Linked DNA regions of Oryctolagus cuniculus. The protein of the gene in region 2 purifies or fractionates together with the protein of the main gene of each other region. This does not show direct contact. Links are inferred from orthologs where the notes say so. Each region holds a gene or a part of one and is shown on either strand. Other genes may lie near its edges.

Region 1 (4,233 bases), on a different chromosome or scaffold from region 2:
TTCCATTGGTTCACCACTCAGATGACCGCTACAGCCGGTGCGCTGTGCCGATCCAAAGCCAGGAGCCAGGCGTCTCCTCCTGGTCTCCGATGCGGGCACAGGGCCCAAGCTCTTGGGCCATCCTCCACTGCCTTCCCGGGCCACAGCAGAGAGCTGGACTGGAAGAGGAGCAACCGGGACAGAATCCAGCGCCACGAAGCCTGGTCATAATAAAATCACACATGACAAGATTCAATTTCACACATATAAACTCAAAAACTAGAACTCAGGACTGACAAAACGTATAGCTCAGAATATACGGTGGGGCTGGCACTGTGGCACAGTGGCTTAAGCTACTGCTTGTGACACCAACATCCCAAATGGGAGTGTTGATTTGAGTCCTGGCTGCTCCACTTCTGATCCAGATCTCTGTTATCGCACCTGAGAAAGCAGCAAAGACAGACCCAAGTGACTTGGCCACTGCTACCCTCATGAAAGAGACCCAGATGGAGTCCCAGACTCCTGGTTCCAGCGGGACCAGCCCCAGCTGTGGTAGTCATTTGGTGAGTGAACCAGTGGATGGAAGGTATCTGTCTCTCTCCCTGGCTCTCCCTCCCTTCCTGCCTCTCTCCCTTTCTGCCTGTAAAATAAATACATAAATCCTTTAAAAATATATGTAGGCGGGGGCTGGCACTGTGGCACAGCAGGTTAAAGCCCTGGCCTGAAGCTCCAGCATCCCATATGGGCGCCGGTTCTAGTCCCGGCCGCTCCTCTTCTGATCCAGCTCTCTGCTGTGGCCTGGGAAAGCAGTAGAAGATGGCCCAGGTCCTTGGGCCCCTGCACCCACGTGGGAGACCTGGAAGAAGCTCCTAGCTCCTGATTGGTGCAGCTCCGGCCGTTGTGGCCATCTGGGGAGTGAACCAACAAATGGAAGACCCCCCCCCCTCTCTGCCTCTCCTCTCTGTGTAACTCTGACTTTCAAATAAATAAAATAAATCTAAAAAAAAATGCAGGCAATAAGGCTTATAATCTTGCCTCCAAGCAAGTATTAGGCAGGAACCCAACACCTGCTGCTCTTTCTCCCGTCATTAATAACAAGCCCAGCTTCCTTCTCAGGTTCCTACCCTTCCTCCTGAACAAAACAGCTTTAGTTTAGGAGGGCAGAGCTCACATTGCACAACAGCTGAACTCCAACCTGTGTCCTTCTCTCCTGTTTCAACATCACCTGCCACACTTACACCTTTACCCAGAAACTCGCCCGAAACGCCGAGCTGCACATGTCGCCCAGCCCAGACCCCTCCCTACCACGGGAGCGGGTTAGAAATGAATCAAAGCCCTCCTGGCGGGTGACTGACTAGCGGTTGTTTGGTTTGATTCTCCCGGGAGCACTGTGAAGTGAGCACTGTCATCACTCTCCCGTTGTACAAACATGAACTCTGAGCACAGAGTGCAGGTGGCAGGCAGGACCTTGGCTGATCTCTCCACAGGGACGCGGGCGTGCAGGGACGGCCGTGGTACTCGAAGGAAGGGGAGACGCCGGGCCGCGGGGCGAGGGGCGGATTCAGAGCAGAGGAGGCTGCTAGCCCTCAACAACTCGACGCTCTGCAGAGCCACAAAGAACAAAACCTTCCACGCCGAGGTCATGCAGGGAAGACACACGGGCTTTCCTTATCGCGCAAAGACTCCCTGCGACTGCTGGAGTCTACTGATCAAAAGGGGAAAGACAGGAAGGCGAGGGGAGAGAGTCAGGAGAACGGCCCACTTCTGCGCCCAAGGTCGGTCTGCAATCAACACTGCTGGTCCCATCAAAGGAAGGGAAAAGGAGGAAGCTGGGGAGAAGTAAAAGCAGCGGGGGGGGGGGGGGGGGGGGGGTCAGTGCTGCCTAAGATTTACCGCTGGGCGGTGAGCATCCCACATGGAGGGCCTGGTCCCGAACCCAGTCATCCGACACCAGCTGCCCACAGGCACAGACCCTGGGAGGCAGCAGCGATGTCACTGGGCTCCTGGCACCCACGTGGGAGACCTGGCTGCACCTGGCACCTGGAGAGCCAGCCAGGGAAAGGGAGCGCCCGCGCCGGGGGTCCCTCATTCTTCCTGTAGATTCATGACTCGAACTCCCCCAGAGTGATGCGGTCCCAGAGATGGTCAGGGACAAGCACCGCTCGGAGTGGGCAGTGACAAGGATAATCTCATAAAAAACAACACGTCTGACCACAGGGAGTGTTCTCCCTTGCAGGCATGCCAAGTTGCTTTACGAGGCCCGGGTCCCACCCGCCGAACTTTGACTCCCGGTCCCTGGCCTCTTCCTGGGCTTCAGCAAGCCGCAGGCCCGTGCTCGCCGCCAAGCTGCACCGGGCGCGGCTCGCGCAGGGAGCGCGGCCCGGACCCCGGCGCGCTGTCCCCAGCGGCTCGCGGGAGGGAGAAGCCCACCAAAGCGGAGACCCCGCGCAGCCCAACTCGAGCACAGAGCGGATCTTCTCACCCTACTCACAGCAGGGCAGCTCAGCACCTGGCAGCAAGGCAGGACTGGGGGGCGGGGGGCTACAGGGGCTCCCGCGGCAGGAACGCAGGCGAGGGTCCTCGGCGCGTCCCCAGGTGCGCGGCCGTGGGCAGGGCTCCCCGAGACGCCCGCCCAGGGGTGCAGAGCCGGGACAGCGGTGCGTCCAAGGTGAGCGCGCTCAGCTGTGCAGACCAGGGGTGCAGCTCCCGCGGGGCGTGCGGCGCCGACACAGGGAGCCCCCCAAGCCCGGCCACGCGGCCCCCGGCCCCCCAACTTACCTCCTCCAGAAATTTGGTCAGATCGTACACCTTGTGGTGCAGGATCAGCCAGGTGCTTTTGCTGTGGTTGTGCTTCTTAATCTCTTCTAGGGTGTAGTACTTCACGTCTTTGTCTGACTGCGCAGCCATCTCTGCACGAGGCGGACCAGGCCCTGCACTCACAGCCGTACCGGGTGGAGCGGGGCAAGCGTCTCAACCAGCTCCGCCCGGGACATTCCCCGCGCACCCGGCCCGGCGCCCGACACAGGGCGGTGGCGCGGCGGAGGAGGGGCGGGCGCCGCGAGGCCCCCGAGGATTGGCCAGGAAGCTTATCGCTCAAGGGGCTCCGCCCTCGGCCGACCCTCTGCTCCAGCCCGAGCGTGCCCCGCGCCCAACGCGCAGGTTCTGATTGGCTGCGGGAGCTGCCCTTCACAGTCACCCGGCGGCGGGGGGGCGCGGGGGGCGCGGAGGGCGGGCGGGGCTTCGCTGAGACTGCGCAGACGGCGGCGAAAGATGCGCGGTGGGGGACAGGGTTCTCCCCGGGGAGGGTAGCGACCTCGGCTCGCAGTGGCCGGCGTTTGGTGAGGGGCGGCCGTCAGTGGTCGTCCTCCGCATCCGCAGACGTTGCGGAGACGCTGGATGGGACGGGAGCCTCCCCTCGGCTTCCCGCGGAGCACACGTCCCAAATGCCCGCTGCGGACCGCGGGGTCGCGTCCCTGACCTCCGCCCGGGGACTTGAATTCTTCCCGTACGAAGTAGGGCATGAGTCTGCCGCTCTGAGGAAGCGTGTGCGCCTCCCGGCCGTCCGCTCCCGCGTCCTGAGGAAGCGGGAAGAAGCGCTCCTTCGACAGGGCACGCGGGCCCCTCCCGCAGTGGTGGTGGGCTGCAAAAGGCCTGGCCCCGGGGTGACCACGGAGTCCCTCCTGCCCGAGCGTCGGCAGGGCCTGCAGGCAGCCCTAGCCCAGGAGGAAGAAAAGCATTCCAAAAATACATGTGCGTCCCCTTGTGCTCGCCAGGAAAACATTCCCAAGTGTGACACTTTGGTATTAAGAGATGTTTCTAAGGACTGAGTAGTGCTAAGAAGGTAAACTGTTTGCACTGTGATACTCGGCTTGAGTCACGCATAATACACAGCTGCTTTATTTCACTCCAACCAATGCAAACGAAAACGCTGAGATGATGGCCTGGAAGTCCTGTGCTTTCTTTAACCTTTACTTCTCAGAGAATCACAGGTTCACAAGAAGCTGCGAAAGTAATAGAGAGGTGCCATGCACCCCACACCCATCCTGCAATGGTTACACCTTAATTTATAGCACAGGATCAAAACCAGGAAGTTGACATTCTGTACAGTTCTGTCCTGACTTAGGACTTGCGTAGATTTGTGTTACCTCCACTACCACTACGTCGGAACAGTTGTGGCACCACAAGGGCTCCCAGGTGCTACCCACTTACAGCCACACCCACTTCCTTTGCAAACCATCCCTGACCCAGACAACC
Region 2 (3,804 bases):
TGCTAGGCTAAACACCTCTCCTGGCGGCTTGGTTTTCAAGCTGATCTTGCATCATAAAAATCCACCTTCCTTTACTGTCAAATCTGTAGCATGAAGCAAGCACCCTCACATACTCTAAGCAGGAACACTAACTGACATAAGACACCTGTTATAAAATGCAAGATGTTCGGGCCGGCGCCGCGGCTCACTAGGCTAATCCTCCGCCTAGCGGCGCCGGCACACTGGGTTCTAGTCCCGGTCGGGGCACCGGATTCTGTCCCGGTTGCCCCTCTTCCAGGCCAGCCCTCTGCTGTGGCCAGGGAGTGCAGTGGAGGATGGCCCAGGTGCTTGGGCCCTGCACCCCATGGGAGACCAGGAAAAGCACCTGGCTCCTGGCTCCTGCCATCGGATCAGCGCAGTGCGCCGGCCGCAGCGCGCCAGCCGCGGCGGCCATTGGAGGGTGAACCAACGGCAAAGGAAGACCTTTCTCTCTGTCTCTCTCTCTCACTGTCCACTCTGCCTGTCAAAAAATTAAAAAAATAAATAAATAAAATAAAATGCAAGATGTTCATACCCTCAGGTTCAGTGACTCCTTCTCTCTGATGTTATCCCACAGAAGCCTTTGTACAAATGTGCAATGTTGTGAGAGTATCTACAAAGAGGGCATTAAATTGTGGTACAACTATATGAGAATACTATGTACTCTTTAAGAAGAATGAGATTGCTGTACAACGATGTCTAATTTATAACCAGAGGGAAAAAAGCACAATCTAAAACGTGTGTGCATGATCCCACTACTGTAAACATGGTAACAGAGATGTAAGCAGAGAACACCGGTGGAAATGCATGAGAAAGTATTTGGGATGGCTGCCTGTAAGACATGGGATGATGGGGGACTTTAACTGTCTAAGTTCAATTTCTAAACTTTCAAAAACAATTAAGCATTACTTTCTAATCAGAAAACAAGATTAAAAGTCCTGTTTTCTTACACTGCCCCCTGCATCGAGGAATCTCATCGTCATAAGGCCCACCTTGGTCAACAGCCAAGAGAAGACTGGGCTGGGAGGCACTGGCTCTGCCTCATCATACCCAGGAGGTGCGCCCTAGACCCATCCACCGCCTTCTCCTGGGTACATGGGTCCTGGGGCTCTCCCAGGGAACATAAAGGGTGGGCCAGGCTGTAGCTCCAGCTGGTTGCACCCACTACTTTTCACTAACTAGCTCTTGCTATTCACTACCATTTCTATTTGTAGAGGACTCTCTCTGGATTCTGCTTTTTAACATCAGGGTAGGAAGCAGCCAGCTGTTCCAGCCATATGTCTCTCTAGAACTTCTGAGCAGGACCTTGATCCTAAAAAAGAATACAGGTTTATCAAGTACTCAAAGCTACAAAGGATCTCTGGCTCATTGAGCTGCGGTAGGAAACAGAGATGGTTACAGTACTGGAAGGCTAAGGCACTGAGGTAATAATCTCTGGCTTAATCCCTCATTTCCCTAGTCCTTGCCTCCAATCAGAACCTAAGAGCAAAAATATACAGGCACAGTTCAAAAATTCTGTAGCCTGGCTTTTCGTGGCGCTCAGCCCCAGAGACAACACGCAACTCCCCCCCGAGCTCCTGGCTCAGAGCTGCTCAGGGAAGAGTCCTGACTGGGAAGAACGGCCTCTTGGGGTCTTGCCAAGTATTGCAGGAACAGCGAGGCACTATCCTACGTGGCTGGAACTGCAAGCCGCACCTGGCCTGTTCAGAGGCAGTTCTTCCTGAACATATCCTGTCAGGCCTCAAGACATCAGGAAGGAGAAATGCCTGATGCTGCAGCTGGAGGCCTGGAGTGGGAGGCAGTCTTTGCACACTCCCCTGACCCCCGCAGTCCCCGCTGCATTTCTGCGAAGGACACGGGACGGGGGAGAGGAGTACGCCAAGCCTAAGCAGCACCACCACCATGAGACAGGACCCCTGTCCCAACAGAGCTGACACTGCGGAGTCTGAGTAGGTGGACACAGTGATCACTCAGCACAGCAAAACAGTGCACAACTAACAGGCAGACAAGTTTTATGGACTCCTCCTGCCTCCAAACAACTCTGCCACTACCTTGCCCTGAAATGTCCACCTTACATCTTAGCACCACCGGCTCCAGCCCCACCCAAGCATGCCCTCTGGTCCATTTGTCTTTCAAGCCCCTGCAGGTGTGTGTCTCAATGCCAAGGTTTATAGGACCGCAGAGCTGGAAGCACTTGCAAAGACCTGAAGTCCAGCCCAGATCCAGAGAGGTCTGGGATTTGTCCCCAAGCTACACTGCTAGTCAGCTCAGTGCCCTTTTCCATTAGCAGACACGGCAGGACTTCCTTCCACAAGGCTCCCTGTCTACTTGGGTGCTCAGCCCCTTATTTGAAGACCTGTTTCAGACACTGAGGGAGAATGCTGCTGGTTAAATGACTGGAAAGCAGTACTGCTTAGACCAGAGACATGAGCCAGTTAGCTTGTCTTAGCTTTGCTTCTAGAATGACCTGAGGAGCAACCTCGGAAATGTGAGGCAGTTGTCATAAGGATGCAGATAACGACTGCCTGGTATAGTCACACCCCTGCTGGAGGAACCTCTCTCCACAAATGCCTGGCAGCAGCACCATCTTGCCCAAAAGAAAGACGGGGGCGCCTCACTGATCTGTCTGCGAGAAGCCCCACTTGGCAGAGCACAGAACAGCAGAGGCCACACACAGCCCACTCACCAATGACCAGGAGCACGAGAATGCTGATGAGAACCACAAAGAAGGTGTTGCCGTAGGTCACGACCAACTCCACCAGGCGAGACTTGAAAATCTTCTGCCATCTGTGAAGGGAAAGCACATGATCCTGGGGGGCAGGGCCCTGACCAGCACAGAGAGTCAGCTTTGCACTCTTCTCATGGCCCGAGCGCGGCATGGTGTCAGCTTCAGACACCTGGAATTCTCCAATGTATGGTAGCTATTTAAAAGTGCTTAAAAAAAGCTGCATGTATACAGATAGGAATGCCTAGACATTAGTGGTCTCTAGAGAGGAAAACCCACTTTTCATTTGTACTCTCCTTTGTAGTACTCAAAATGTGTGTCTTGTAGGACTGGCGTTGTGACACAGCGGGTTAAGCTGCTGCTAGCAACCCATATGGACACCCAGTTCAAGTCCCAGCTGCTCCACTTCTAATCCAGCTCCCTGCTAATGTTCCTTGGGAAGCAGTAGAAAATGGCCTAAGTGCCCCTGCACCCACACGGGAGACCTGGATGAAGCTCCTAGCTTTGGCCTGGCTCAGCCCTGGCTGTTGCAGCCATGTGAGGAGTAAACCAGCAGGCGGAAGGTTTCTTTCTCTCTCTCTCTCTCTCTCCCTCCCTCCCTCTCCCTCTCGCTATAACTCTGCCTTTCAAATAAATAAATAAACCTTTAAAAAAAAGAAATATTCTTTTAAAAGACCCAACGAGGTCCTATTTTGGACATTAGTTAAGTGCCGTAAGTCTCTCTTATTCTTTAAATCCCCCTTCCTTTCTCCCTCTTTCTTTTCCAATTTACTTTATGCAAAAACCAGGTTGCCTGTACCATACAGCTTCCCAGGTTGCACTTCCGAGGGTCCTCTGAACTGCATGCAGATTTGGTTTTGGGCAAAAATATTCCTCAGGAATCGCTGCACATCTTCTTGTGGCTCAGATTAGTGGCCTATATTTCTCACTTTAGAAGTTTTGAAAAATATCTGAAGAAGCTAACCATTTGGTACAGTAGTTAAGGCACCCCTTGGGACGCCTGCCTCCCGTGTCAGAGTAACTGGGTTCAAGTCCTTGCTCTACTTCCATTTCAGCTTCGT

What was found.
Region 1: the proteins of BCAP31 (region 2) and CYB5A purify together in Homo sapiens (co-immunoprecipitation; 4 studies listed by BioGRID and IntAct, with this or other methods). This does not show direct contact. The link is inferred for Oryctolagus cuniculus from reciprocal best matches to the Homo sapiens genes BCAP31 and CYB5A.

Annotation. Positions count from the first base shown.
Region 1 is NC_091441.1:4,464,293-4,468,525, reverse strand, and holds the start of CYB5A (cytochrome b5), read right to left. Parts: upstream 3,075-4,233; 5' UTR 2,887-3,074; coding exon 2,758-2,886; intron 1-2,757.
Region 2 is NC_091453.1:132,081,477-132,085,280, forward strand, and holds part of BCAP31 (B-cell receptor-associated protein 31), read right to left. Parts: intron 2,806-3,804; coding exon 2,705-2,805; intron 1-2,704. UniProt on the Homo sapiens protein: Functions as a chaperone protein. Is one of the most abundant endoplasmic reticulum (ER) proteins.